Coturnix japonica: one gene and its partner. The protein of the gene in region 1 interacts with the protein of each later gene in a biochemical or structural test. Links are inferred from orthologs where the notes say so. Each region holds a gene or a part of one and is shown on either strand. Other genes may lie near its edges. The genes, in order: RBSN and RAB5C.

What was found.
Region 2: the proteins of RBSN (region 1) and RAB5C form a complex in vitro, tested with the Homo sapiens proteins (2 studies listed by BioGRID and IntAct, with this or other methods). The link is inferred for Coturnix japonica from reciprocal best matches to the Homo sapiens genes RBSN and RAB5C.

The regions. Positions count from the first base shown.
Region 1 is NC_029527.1:17,038,069-17,045,489, forward strand, and holds the start of RBSN (rabenosyn-5), read left to right. Parts: upstream 1-3,065; 5' UTR 3,066-3,273; exon of another isoform or gene 3,274-3,390; 5' UTR 3,391-3,524; coding exon 3,525-3,687; intron 3,688-4,779; coding exon 4,780-4,920; intron 4,921-6,581; coding exon 6,582-6,682; intron 6,683-7,281; coding exon 7,282-7,327; intron 7,328-7,421. UniProt on the Homo sapiens protein: Rab4/Rab5 effector protein acting in early endocytic membrane fusion and membrane trafficking of recycling endosomes. Required for endosome fusion either homotypically or with clathrin coated vesicles.
Region 2 is NC_029542.1:4,451,011-4,457,709, reverse strand, and holds the end of RAB5C (ras-related protein Rab-5C), read left to right. Parts: intron 1-1,204; coding exon of another isoform or gene 1,205-1,254; 5' UTR 1,255-1,282; coding exon 1,283-1,448; intron 1,449-2,494; coding exon 2,495-2,646; intron 2,647-2,953; coding exon 2,954-3,076; intron 3,077-3,454; coding exon 3,455-3,548; intron 3,549-3,917; coding exon 3,918-4,033; 3' UTR 4,034-5,090; downstream 5,091-6,699. Other genes in the region: HSPB9 (heat shock protein beta-9), read right to left, coding at 6,499-6,699. UniProt on the Homo sapiens protein: The small GTPases Rab are key regulators of intracellular membrane trafficking, from the formation of transport vesicles to their fusion with membranes.

The DNA of each region.
Region 1 (7,421 bases):
AAGAAGAAAAAGGAAGGAGGAAAGGAAAAAAGGAAAAAACAAAGAAATTTAGCAGCGCTGTGTGCTGTGAAATCCACTGCAAAGAGCCCCAGCAAGCCCTCGGTTGTTCTCAGACATGCTTGTTGTGCCATCTAGTGAAAAGATGTTTCTTTCATTCTGCACATCTCTTTTCCTGCTCCTTTCTTACTCCCATATTAGCAAGCCATACTTCTGATTAGACGAACAGAACACACACATGCACAACAGGAACAAGAAAACCGAAATGCCTACAGCCAAACCATCACAAGTCCTGCACCTAATTTTGCCTTTTTCACTTATTTCCACGATCACTCTTCCCTACATACTTCCTCCCATCCAAGCTCAGATCTTACTGCCCTTCTCTATCTCTTCAGCTCCTGCCAGCTTCCCAGAGGCACCTGTAGATATGGAGGATTCCTTCACTGGCTCAGTGTGTTACAGATCACTGGCCCCAGCAGAGGCCCAAACAAAAGGAGCAGGTAACAACAAAGAGACAGGTAGTTGGTTCTACCTGAATTTGCACAAGGCATGAATTCGTCTCAGTGCTATAATCATAGAATCATAGCATCCACCAAAGGATGGAAAAGACCTTCAAGATCATGTAGTCCAACCATGCCCACTGATCATCTCCCTCATTGCCAAATCTCTGCCTTCCCTGAACAACTCCCAGGGACAGTGAATCAACCAACATCCTGGGTAGCCCATTTTAGCACCTAAACACCAATTTGGAGAAGGAATTTTTTCCTAATATCCAACCTGAATGTTCCCTGGTGCAACTTGAAGCCATTCCCCCAAGTCCTAACCTTATTTACATGGGAGAAGAGGACAACCAACACCTCGCCACCACCTCCTCTCAGGGTGTTGTAGAGAGCTGCAAGGTCTCCCCCGTGCCTCCTCCTCTCCATACTGAAAAATCCCAGCTTCCTCAGCTGCTCCTCAACCCTCACAGTTTCATTGTCCCTCTCCAGACACACTCCAGGGCCTCGCTGCTCTTATAGTAGCGAAGGGCACAAAATGGAACACAGTACTTAAGGTGCAGCCTCACAAGAGCTGAGCACAGGGGGATGATCACCTCCCTGATCCTGCTGACAACACTATTTCTTCTACAAGCTGGGATGTCATTGGCCTTCTTGGCCACCTGAGCGCACTACTGGCTCATGTTTAGCCGAGTGTCAGCCAACACCCCCAGGTCCATTTCTTCCACACTGTTTCCAGCCACTCTGCCCCAAACCTGTAGCGCTGCATGGGGTTGTTGTGGCCAAGGTGAAGGACCTGGCAGTTGGTGTTGCTGAACTTCATCCTATTGGCCTCAGCCCAGCTACCCAGCCTGTCCCAGTCCCTCTGAAGAGCCTCCCTACCCCCAGGCAGATCAACACTTCCTCCCAACTTGGTTTCATCTTCAAACTTACTGAGGTTCCACTCAATCCCACTGTCCAGGTCATCAATAAATATATAAACAGGACAGGCCCCAGTACCAGTCCCTGGGGGAGCACCACTCATGACTGGTCACCAGCTGGATTTAACTCCATTTAACTCCATAACTTTGGGCCCAGCCCTCCACCCAGCTCTTTACCAAGCCAAAGGCTGCCAGTTTCTCTAGTAAGACATTTCTCTAGGAAACAGTTCAGCTGCATAAAACCCAGAGAGATCATGCCACAGCAAGTGAGCCCTGGGATGCACGAAGCTTCAGGTTGGTTCCTGCTCCCTTTCTCCAAAGAGAGGAACACAAGGAAAAACAGCGCCCTGAGTTGCTCGAGGTTCATTGTCCTCAAGCATTGTACTAACTTAATTCCACACACTATGCAATGAGAATGAGAAAACCTAGGAGCTTTGCGAGATGCTTACGGGAAAAGGATTTTTCAGATCCAGACTATTGAGCACATCCTGGCAGGTCTGTTCCATCTGCGCTTAAAATCCTTCCAGACAAGTCTGGGAGAGTCCAGAAATGTATTTCTTACATAACAGCAGTATGAAAAGCCAGCCAATCAGTTCTCCTTATTTCTCTCTTTTAAGTACCTTCCTTCTTTACATACATTGATGATTTTATTTCTAGTGCCTGTAGGGTGAGGATTTTTCAAGTTTTAAAGTGCAACTGAAAACATTTAAGAATATTTTAAAACTTTTCAGCCCATGGGGTTAATAAAGCCCCGTCATGAAAAACAAACAAACAAACAAACATAAATAATCAATATATCAGGCCTTCTAGAAAGAAAGAAAGAATACACTTCTAGAGGAGTACCTGACCAGTGGAGTACCTGACCAGTGCAGCTTCCACAGCAAGATAAGATCTGAGATTTTAAAATAAAGATAAATTAAGTCCGCATAAAAAAAAAAAAAAAAAAGTTTGCATGCTCGATGGGAACCTGGTTGTGATCATGCTTCTACATTATTTCTACAGCTGTTTTGAGAGCATGACGGCTCCCAACAGGAAACTGCATATATAAAAATTCAAAGAGTGTGGCTGTTTATAGTATTCAACTACTCCTACGGTGAAATCAGTTCAATTTTGACGTTGATTTCCCATTACGGTTTGGCAGGATGGTGGAATTACAAATATAAAATGGGTCAGATTCAATGGCGATGCGACAAGATGCTGAAAGTGACCGTGTAACAGCCTGCAATGGCACCAGAGGAGAGTCGGGCTGGTATCAGCAGAGATACGCCGTCCGAAGAGCGCTCAGGTGCCGGCATGGGCTGCCCAGGGAGAGATGAGGGCACCGCCGCGCGGGCGCTCCAGAAGCGCGGAGATGCGGCCCTGAGGGATGCGGTCGGTGGGCGCGGTGGGTGCGGGTCAGACCCAGTGATCTTAAAGAACTTTTCCAACTTCTTCGACTGCCGAACCCTCTTCGTCCTCGCGGCCTCGGAATACATTTCAGCGCCGCTCATCCCGCTCGCCCATCCCGCCGGAAATCAGCTCCGCGGGCGCCCGCCTCACGGGCTGCGTCCATAGCACCGCCCGCCGCAGCCGGAGCTCCACTGGGCCGGGCCCCGAGCCCCGAGTCCCGCCTCCCCGCGGAGCCCGTCTCGTGCCCGTCCCTCCCGCCCTTCGGTACCTCGGCTCTGGCCCCGCCCACCGCCTGGCTCTGCTGCTTCGGGGCTCTCGGGATTCACCGAGCGGGTGCGAACGGCACAGACACGGCAGAGACGCGGCCGCGCAGCTCCTGCCTGGGACCGAGCCGAGCTGACGGGACGGGGAGCGCGGGGCCGCGTCTCGGGGATAGCGGCGAAGCCGGGCCGGGCGCCCCTCAGCGTGAGGTGAAGCCCCGCCCCATCCTCCGCGCGGCGCTGGGCCTGGTCCGGTTCCCGGGCTCCTCCTGAGTCCGGGGGTCGTCTCACCCGCCCTCCGCCGCTTCTCGCCTCTTTCCTGTACAGCGAGGGTGTGGGTACGGCCCTCGAGTGGGCTCCTTGGCCTTGGCAGGCGCAGAGGCGGGCCGCCTGGAGGAGAGGCCGTCCCGATGTCTTTCAGGATGGCGCGGGCGATGCCGCAGCTCTGAGCCCGCAGCGCCATGGCAGCCGGCTGCGCGCCGCCGTTCGGGGACGCGGCGGAGATGCGGGAGGGATTCCTATGCCCGCTGTGCCTGAAGGACCTGCAGGCGTTCCAGCAGCTGCGGGCGCACTACGAGGAGGAGCACTCGGGCGAAGACAGAGACGTCAGAGGCCAGCTCCGAAGTAAGGGCCGCGGCGGTTTCTCGGTGTTCTCCCATCTGTTGTGTTAAATCCCATATAAGAGAAGCTGCCAGAGCTCTGGGTGTCTGTCAGTACTGGAACGCTGACAGAAATACGCTACAAGTGAGGCGTGGGGCCCCGTTTCTGTGTGCAGGACGTAGGCCCAGGCAAAGTGTGTTGCTTATTTCCTGACGCGAGGGATGCGTCGCCTGTAAGTGGGCGTTGTGTAGGCCTCTGTAGGCCTCTGTGCTGTTTGGGTGCGGTGCTTTGTGCTGCGGGTCGTTACTGGCTTTTGTTTGTTTTCTGGCTGTGTTTTTAACACGAGAGTGCTCCGGTTCATTCTGTAATGCATATAAGTTCCCAGACGTTAGTCAGAGGCCTTACAGAATGAGGGAACCTCAGCTTCCTGCCATGTACCAGCCCGGGTCTTTGCTCCTGTGCTACTGTTGCTGTTCTTCCCATCTCATTATAGCATTACACTTGCAACTCACAATTTTCAGCAGGTGTATAAGGGAATTAATTCTAGAATATATTGGGGGGTGGGGGGGAAGTGGCATCCTTAACTTCTGTTACCATAAAAATGCTGGAGTTTAAAGTTTTCCAGGAAACTGCCCTCCTCTCACTAGCTTTTGAATAAGATAATGTGGTGATCTTTAAATTCTTTTGAAGTTACTGAGGTGCACAGGTGCAATGACGCTCTTAGCTTGTACTTCTTTGCAAAAGTATGAAGAATTGAACATCCTTGAATCCAAAGAAAATCATTAGGAATTAAGAGAGTGCATATATAATGTCCCAGTGTTCTATGAAATAGGGTCCCACAGTTTAATACAGTTCACTCTTTCATAGTGATGTCCCTGAATGGAGTGTCTAAAACTACCTGTTTATCATTAGGACTGTAGCACTATAACAGATAACAAAAAAGCATTTCCTGCTTTTGGAGACTCTGTACAATATGTTGGTTCTAAACAGAGCATATTGACTTGTTGTGAAGGCAAAAGATTTGTTCTGAATGATAAGGAGCATACTGTACTCGTTTAACATGGTAAATACTGAGAGGCAAACTGCTCTTTTATATGTGGGTTTATCTTTTTTCAGGTCTTGTCCAGAAGGCCAAGAGAGCAAAGAAGAAATTACTGAAACGAGAAGATGACAGAACTGATTCTGGATCTCAGGAACGATACGAGTCATTCAGCTATGGTGGCATAGATCCGTACATGTGGGAGCCCCAGGAAGTAGGTAGGTGAGCTTGAAAGTGATGCATGGTAGAGATAACTTTTAATTTTATTTGGGTTTAAGTTTAATTGCTGAAACTGTGGAATTGTCTGTACTGTATGTGACTTATTGTAGCATTGAGTTGTGACTTCCATACTGTTTCTCTGCAGCCTGCACGCATTGTATAGGACAAAAGTGAGAAAGTGAAGATCAGGGGTGGGGAGGGAAGATCTATAGAGCCAGGATGTAAACTAGCCTCAAAAGCTGGATAGTTGTCATTTCATTGTGTCTGAGCTATTGAGTTCTCTTTGGTACATATTTAGCTCTGTGCATCTAGCTTTACTAAGGGTTCTGCAACTACTGTCATATGGCTTTTTACAAAACAGATGATAATCCACTACTACTATTTAATATTGCTACAGCCATATTAAATCTATGGCTTTTTGGTTACTCTTAAGTAGATGTTTTGCCAGACATTTAAACTAACAGTTGTCCCTTAGTTTGAACTCTCTTCCAGCTATTTCTTGGATTTCAGGTATAGGTAATCTGTCATTAAGTAGTTTCACTTCAAAAAATAAGCAGCCAAACTCTGGCTGCAGGTTCAGGCGTTGCAGATGTTAACAAATATGTTGACTAAGCCTGTACTTACAAATACTGTTACTGGAAGTTGCCTATGGTTATTTTCAGGGGGAGGAGGCAGCACTGTCTCTGGTGGGTCCTGTATGTTTTCCTGTGCTGCTGACAGATGAGGAATTGAGTCCTTTGGGATGGCAGAATCCAAGCTTTGGAGATAACTGTCTTTTTTTTTTTTTTAAACCAGAGTGGAGAAGCTGAATCTTACAGATTTTTACATGATTTGCTGGGGGTTTCTGTAATGAAGAGATTGTCACTGCAGAAGTTGAATCTACTGACCTAGAGGGGCTTTCCCATTCCTATGAATTTGGCTACAGAGGGTTTTCTGTGTATTTCATTAGAATGAGGAAGTGACTTTGTACAGTTACTGTCAAAGAGCAACATCTGCTTTTATGTTCTACTAATCAGAAAATGAATAATTTTTGTATTATGACTGTAACTCTGATTTTTTTTTTTTTTTTTTTAAATATCTGGCTAATGAAAAAGATGAAAATCTATTACCCAGATTTATTGAGAATGAATTATATATTTAAGTAGATGCTGTGTTCTTTCGTATACTTGTTTATGAGGTTTCTGTAAATCTGCGCTGTGATCAAGGACTTGGTTCAGACCCCTGGATGTGAGAAGGATGATGGCAATCTGGAAGAAGCTGTTATTGCATAAACCTCAGATAATCATGGGACTTGCATCTTGCGTTTGTTCTAGATGTAGTAAGGAAATAACAGGAGCAGGTCTTGACTACCATACAGGCTGGTAACATGGAATGTAACTGAGAGATAAATATGAAAAAAAATCTGTTGCAAATGTTTTCTTTAATGTCTTCTTTGCTTTCCTTTAGTAGAAATAAAGCACTGCTTATTGCTAGCTTGGAGGCTATAGCCTGCACGCTTCATTCAGGCCAGTACCACGAAGACTTGGAATTCTAATGTGTCTTTAAAATTTTATTTGGACTTGAAAAATAATTGATGAAAAAAAAGGAGAGCTGCCTTTTGAAAGGCGTTTAAACTCATGTAGAACACCCAGGTGACTCTGAGTTCTCCTCTCCCCCTAAGGTGCTATGAGAAGCCATCTTTCCAGTTTCAAGAAATACCGAGCAGCCAGGATTGATCACTATGTAGTTGAAGTCAATAAATTGTTAATCAGGTTAGAAAAGGTAATTTTGCTACTACTTAGTATTCCAGCCATTTAAATGTTTCTTAAATATCCAATACTATTTTATTGCAAAGGATGCCCACTTATGTAGTAATGCAATTGGTAAATGGTAGCCTTCACATGTTACTGTCCTCCCTTTTTTATCCTTGTGTAGTGTGTTTGGTCGTGCTCTGCACTGTGGGTATGGTTTCTGTTTCTGTACAGTATTTTCAAGCACAAGATGCTACATCACGTGCTCTGTGTGCTTTCTTCATATTTTACTTCCTAGGATTACTCCTATTTGTTCTGTAAAATCCCCCACTGATAGCCAACTTACATTTTCAGTCAGACACAATAATATTGAATGATACAAGAACTATGTCAAAATATTCTGACTTTTGTAATTTTGGCAGTAATTGTTTAGTGCTACTTGTCTGAATCTTATTGCCAGATTCAAACATCTTCCTATTTATCTTTTTAAAATGGCATGCTTTTTTTTTTTTTTTTAACATGTTGGGCATGGGAGGGTGTTGTGGGTTGTTTGTCTTCCTTCTTCAGTAAGGAGGAAAAGTTGTGGGGTCGTGTTTTTGTTTTTTGAATGTGTTGTTTATCTTCTACTAGCTGACATCCTTTGACAGAGCCAACACCGAGTCAGCCAAAATACGAGGTTGGTAAGAGCTTACCTTAGACTATATGCCTCTGTAGTTTACCAGCAAAGGAATAAATTGAACTAATCTCTTATACTGTGTGTATTGCCTCCT
Region 2 (6,699 bases), on another chromosome or scaffold:
CTGCTGCTTTGCAGTCTTGAGTTGGAGAAGGAACTTTGCATTCTCTGGAGCTTTTGCTCTGAAGTGTGGCTCATAGGACACTGTTCATTTGGGTGCTGTTTGCTGGGTTCGCTCTGAGCAAGAAGGTGTTTCCTTGGGGCTCAGGATTTGTTGTGGGGGAAACTGCCCATCAGGGTCTTTGTTTGCTGCTTGTCTTTGTCAAGAAACTTGGGCTGCGAGAGAGTTGAAGGGAAAATGGTGATACAGAGCAGATGCAATCGGTTGTAGCATTTGTCATTGACAGGAAGTGGGAGTCGTGTTGAATACAGGAAATCTGCTGAAATCTGTGAAACTGCGCTTGGAACATTATCTGCTCGCAGCTGAGAACAGGAATACGGGTCATTGTGGTTAATGGGAGGCACTGAGCCTTCGCTCAGGGTTATCAGTGGATGTAGAACAGCTCGTCTCGCTCTTTGTCCAGTGCTTCTGCACAACACTGGAGATTTGGTGCTGCTGCTGCTGTGTGTAGGTGCTGCCCCTGCTTTCTGATAAGTCAGTCTAGACTTCTGATAATTACCTGCAGTGCTGGTGGGGCGGCTGTCAGCTCCTCTGTGCTTCTGCAGGTCTGAGGTGGCCTTGAGGACTGCTCAGAGATGCGGTGTTTAACAGCTTTGTACAAGGGCCTTTACAGTTCTGAACATAACAACTTGCTCTTGTGATCTGGAGGAGTGAGTCAGTGCTGCTGTCCATAATGGATTACATAGGGCACACAAACACCTCTATTCTGTTGGCAGCCTGAAGCTGCTACGTGGTGAACTCGAGAGAGGAGGAAGGAGTTAAGCTCAATTTCAGTTACTTCCAATGAACTGAACAGTGTTTTAATGGACAAGGCTCTAATAACCTGACTGGCACACTGGCTGTTTTCTGCTTGCCTTGCCCTAGTGAGGTGTGTAGCATGGTGTGCAGTGGAAGTGCTGGAGGGCCCGGTGGGGAGGGAGCTCTTATCAGACCCCTGCTCTGAGGAGGCTCACGCAACTTCAGATGCTGTGGGAGCTGCTGACTGATAGGAACTGGCTGATGTGCTGCAGTGCTTGCAGCCAGTAACCTTCCTCAGTGGGAAGGAGCAGCAGCTGTCTGTGCTGATAGAGGCTGTGGGTCAAAACCACCTCTGGAACTGGTAGGGCTGCTCCGGGAGCGTGTCACTAACTCTGGCCTCCTCTTCCAGTTGCAACCTGCCTCCAGGTGGATCCAGTGCAGAACCTGCAGCATCCTTAACTCTTGGCACTCCTGCACTTAGGCCACAATGGCAGGTCGAGGTGGAGCTGCTCGACCGAATGGACCAGCTGCTGGAAACAAAATCTGTCAGTTCAAACTCGTCCTGCTGGGAGAGTCGGCAGTGGGGAAATCCAGCCTTGTTCTGCGCTTTGTGAAGGGGCAGTTCCATGAGTACCAGGAGAGCACGATTGGAGGTGAGTGCCAACTCCAGATGCTGATGGTTAAAAGATGCCGGCCTTGCTAATGCAGCCCAGGAGTATCAGGAGCATTAATGGCTATTTCAGTCTGGTCTGGGCTTTTTGCTATAAATAGTCAAGCAGCTAATGCTTTAACTCTTGGTCTGCAGTTTGTTAGTGTAGAGATCAGTGCACCAGCGAACACTGCTATGGCAACCACGAGTGCTCTGCCTCTCAGGCGTCTTCCAGTGTTTGAATTCCTATTTCTAATTAGATCTGAGGCATTCAGCTTAGTTTATAGCTTCAATGTTTTCTGACCAGGACCTGGGATATCAGGCTTGTTTGTAGCTTGACAAAATAAACTACTTCCACATCTCTTTCAGGCCTAGCTGTTCTTTAGCTTAAAATAGTCAGTGTGGAGTCACCAATCAAAGGTCAGTCAGCACCCAGCCTTCTGAGTGGTAATGTGAGGAGATGTGCACTGAGAGGCTTCATCTGCCCCTGTAGTGACCCATACAGGAAGCAGGGCAGCTTACAGACAGGCAGGGTTTAATGCTTTGCCACAGGGGGCTGTGAGTGATCTGCTGTTCTACCTCAGTCCATGTTCAAGCCTGGCTGTATTAGAACTGAAATGAAAGTATGGCGTTATTCTTGCTGGAACAAGAAAATAACTGGTTTCTAGGCCAAGGAGTGCAGTGTAACTGGGCTGACTGCAGTGCTTTGGCACTGAGGCACTCTGTGAAGCTAATCCTCAGGGTGCTGCAGCTGTATTGTGTGGTCTGGGTGGTGACCCCTGGGGGTGGGTAGCAGTGTAATGTCAGGCTGCTTGCTGGGTGCTCGGAGCCACCTTTCTGTTGGCAGCCTGCTGCCTGGTGGCTCTCTGGTTCCCTCACATAAGTAGCTTGTAACACAGCAGAGCTGTGACTTGCACAGCAGGTGGCAGTGTGCTGGCCTGGCTGGGGCTTCTGCCAGCTCTTGTGCAAAAGCAGAACTGCTCTGAGCTGCTGGCTCTTGCTGGAGGAGCTCTCCAGCTGGAGACAAGGCAAACATCTCTTCTCTTTCAGCTGCCTTCCTAACGCAGACAGTTTGTCTGGATGACACAACGGTGAAGTTTGAAATATGGGACACGGCGGGACAGGAGCGGTATCACAGCCTGGCACCCATGTACTACCGAGGTGCTCAGGCAGCCATTGTTGTCTACGACATCACTAACACAGTGAGTACTGCACCAGGGCCTGAAGTGTCTGCTGGGAGGGAGGCATCTGCACTTATATCTGATGCTTCTCTGTTCCATGGGAGAGTTCTGGGCTTAGGGCTGCTGCAGATGCCTGCCTGCAGGTACTGAGTTTCTTAAACTCGCCACTTCCTTGTTTCTGATCAAGGCTGTCTAAGCTGATAAAGAATCCTGCTACAAAGTGCTGTAGAAGCAGAATGCTTCTTACAGGAAAGACTTGTTCTAATCATATCTTCATTGTGCATTATTAAGAGGCTGCCTTTCCTGACTGCCTCCTTTTTACTTCCAGGACACATTTGTACGAGCCAAGAACTGGGTGAAAGAGTTGCAGAGGCAGGCCAGCCCCAATATTGTAATTGCACTAGCAGGAAACAAGGCAGACCTTGCTACCAAGAGAGCTGTGGATTTCCAGGTAAGTGGGAATGTGGTTCAGCTGCTACCTGAGCAGCCGGGAAAGCAGCTCTCACATTGAGGTGTGTTAAACTCCCAGCCAACCAAAGTACAAGGTGTTAAGTTGCTTGAGACATAGTGTCCACATGTAGCTCACAAACAATCTGTGCTGCTGTATCCTGGCTCTGATGCTGGCACCTCAGCCATGTGCTCCTGTCAGTACTGCACGTCTATCAGCTGTCCTGGCCAGGCAGGGCTTGGGCTGGGGTGGAGGTGCCCAGTTTGGGCTGGGCAGAGGCTGTCTTCAGTGTTTAATAATGCCAGCAAGTGGAGTATGCGGAGCCTGCATGTGCCTCCTCCTGGCAGGATGCCTTTATCACTCTAACGTTATTGTTTCTAGGATGCACAAGCTTATGCAGATGACAACAGCTTGTTGTTCATGGAGACGTCGGCCAAGACAGCAATGAATGTGAATGAAATCTTCATGGCAATAGGTAAGTGTGGTGTGAAAGGGCTGCCTGGAGGAGCTCTGAGCACTGGCAGTACAGCCCACTGAAAACCACAGGGTCTGTGTCAGCTGGGTTCTGGAGGCTCTTACTGGAGTTTATGTGTGACCAGGTTGTTAGACCTGTGTGTGTGGTCACCCAGGTAGTGCAAACCTTGTTCCCTCTCTCCCTTTATCTGGAGTGAATGAGGGTGGAGCAGAATTGGTGACAGCTAAAAGCAGGTTTAATGTACTTGTGCTGCCAGCAGTGTCCTGAGAGCTGGAGGCTGGAGTAGAGCTGAGCTCAGCGTGTGGTCTGCAGTGGGGAGGAGGCTGGCCTCTATAAGAGCGACCTGCTGATACCTTGCTTCTTTCCTAGCCAAGAAACTGCCAAAAAATGAACCCCAGAATGCTCCAGGTGGTCCGGGCAGGAATCGGGTGGTCGACCTTCAGGAGAGCAGTCAGCCCAGCAGGAGCCAGTGCTGCAGCAATTGAGCAGCTGATCTCGCCCGATGGAGCCCTCGAAGGACGTGACTGGAATCCACGCTAACAATCGCACTTACCGTAGAGCAGCTGCTGCCGGTGGCTGCTGTGATTTCTCCATCCCTTTCTGATCATAGGCTGGAGGGAGTTCTTCCACCTGCACCTTTCTGTACAAATACTAATTCAATTCTAAGTCTTAAGTCACTTTTTTAATATATGAACTTCTGCTCTTCCCTCTTCCTGGTGGTGGTGGATGCACGACCTGGTGTCTGCCCAGCCAGCTCATCCCTCCCCACGGGTGAGGGCCAGCAGCACCCAGGTCCCACAGTACTGTAGTTCACTATTGGAAACAAAGGGATATTGAGACTAGACAGCCTTGTTTAAAGTTACCCACGTGTAAAAGCTGAGGCGAATACCAGTACGATATGCCTAGAACAACCACTAAACTGTAGCATTATAGTGACAAACTCCGGCTCTTCAGCCACTTATTGACCAAATCAATTATGAGTATTTTGGGGTGGGGCAGAGGGAAGAAAAACTGATTTCTTCTGTATTTTGTATTGTATGTTTCTTCATGTAACCAATCAGTATCTTGTCAATATAGAACATACAACTAGCTGCCTGTTGTCTTCATTTGTGTTGGACTCTCGCATGCCAACTTCTTTTCTCTCTGGTTCTGTCATACTGCACTCATCCTGTTGCAACTTTTGCAAAAAAAAGAAAAAGAGAATCTTGTATAGAAAATTGTCTTTTTTTGATGGTTGTGATGCCACGAATGTTAACCCCACCCTGGTGTGAATACACGTGGTTTACTGATGTACAGAAGTGGGGCAGGGGAAACCTCGGGTGACCTGTCAGTGAAAACTGTGTATTGCAAAAGCCTGTAATCCCACACGGTGTGAAGGGAGGTATTAAAATGGCTTCTCTTGCCAGACTCTAACTGATGTTGGCTGCTGCCTAGTGCCTAATGCAGTGTCTTATGCATACTGGTATTTAAGAGGAACTGTCAAGCTACTCTTCATCACAAACTTCAGTTTTGTGTGATTAAAGGAAAATTTTTATAAACCTACCACGATCAACAATGTTCGTGTTTCTTAACAAGCAGGAGGGGAGCGGAGTGGAGCAGAACATAACAGGCGTGGTGAGGCCCAGCTCTGCAAGGTGAGGGAGGGATTCCCGCATGGAGCTGCAGAGCCCCTGTCTGTTATGAGGAGCTGGAGCTGGTTTGCTGGCTCATCACAGTGTACAGCAGCATGATTGAGGTAAACAGTGAGAACTGCTCATCACTGCACTTCTGGGCTAACTAGCTATAGCAGGAGCTGAGGAGAGGTGGGAGGAGCAGTATGCATAGGAATGGGGAGTTTACACGACAGCTGGGTGAACTTAGAGATAGTGTGCTCAAATATTGGTCAGCAAATGCCTCTAGTATCTAAAGATGCTAATGTCATGTTTCTGTGTGGCTGTTCATGTGCTGGAGGAGCTCAGAACCCTCATGAGATGTCAGAGATCCCATCGCTTCCAGGATGGTTTGCTGGTGCTTCTGGATTCCCCAGCAGCGAGAGGGACCCGTTGGACAACTGTTACCGGCTCCCAACTGAGCAGCGGCTGGAACAGAGCGAGGTGCTGTTGCCATCTGCTGGTTTCTTGTACAGGAGCTCCTGGCTGGCAGGACTTCATTTCTGGCCCATGCCTCGGGGTCTCCATCTCCCTGATGGAGGCTGTGATGCTCTCAGGGTGTCCTGCTGCTGCCCCAGCCCGTGCTGTTCAGCTGTGACTCCAGTTTGGGGCTGTGCTCTGCAGAGCTGTTGTGCTGCTGGCACTGCTGTGAGGAAGAGCTGCCTGAGCTCAGAGCAGCTTTGACACAAACAGGTGTGCCTGCATGCCTGCAGACCTGCCCAGACCTGGCTGCAAGTGCTGGAGGTGGGGATAGTGCAGGAGCCTGGTTCCAGGTTGCCTGCTGCTGTCATCCCAAAAGGATCTGCAGCCCTTTTCTAAGCTGCATAGGGAGAAAAGTAGCTGTGACGGGACTGCCTCCACCTCCCACATCTTCCAGCAGTTATCTTGCTCTTCAGAGACACTGGGCTGAGCAGGAGGGCTATGGAGATGGTGCAGGCAGCAGCATGGGCAGGAAATGCTACAGTGCAAGAGAACAGGGATGCTCCCCCTGCTCAGAGCAGCACAGTAGCTCTGCTGTCAGCCCCGTAGCACCAAGAGCAGAGAGGGTTTTACCCTCTCCATACACCCCCAAGAGCTGAGAACAAGGCTCAGCCACCCCATCAATCACCCCTCACCCCATCAATCACCCCTCCCCCCCAAAAAAAGAAGCACAACCAAATTCTATGCAAAAGGACTTTTTATTGGATACAAAAACGAGAACATTCCAGTGTAGTGAAAAAGATGATGGAGCGTGTCTGGGCTACAGCCCGAGACTCACTGCCGTCTCTGCTGGTCCCAATGCAGACCGTCGTTCCGTCCCATCACACCTGGGCTTTGCTGGCAGCTCCATCCTTGGCTGCCCCGAGCTGAGGAGCTGCGGGGCTCACCTGGATGGGCACGTTCCTCTCACCAGCAGTTGGCAGGGCCAGCCGAGGGGCCTCGATGCGCAGCTGCCCCTCTGGGGACAGGGAGCAGGTCAGCGCCTCGGCGTCCACGTCCTCGGGCACGTCCCACTCGCGCTT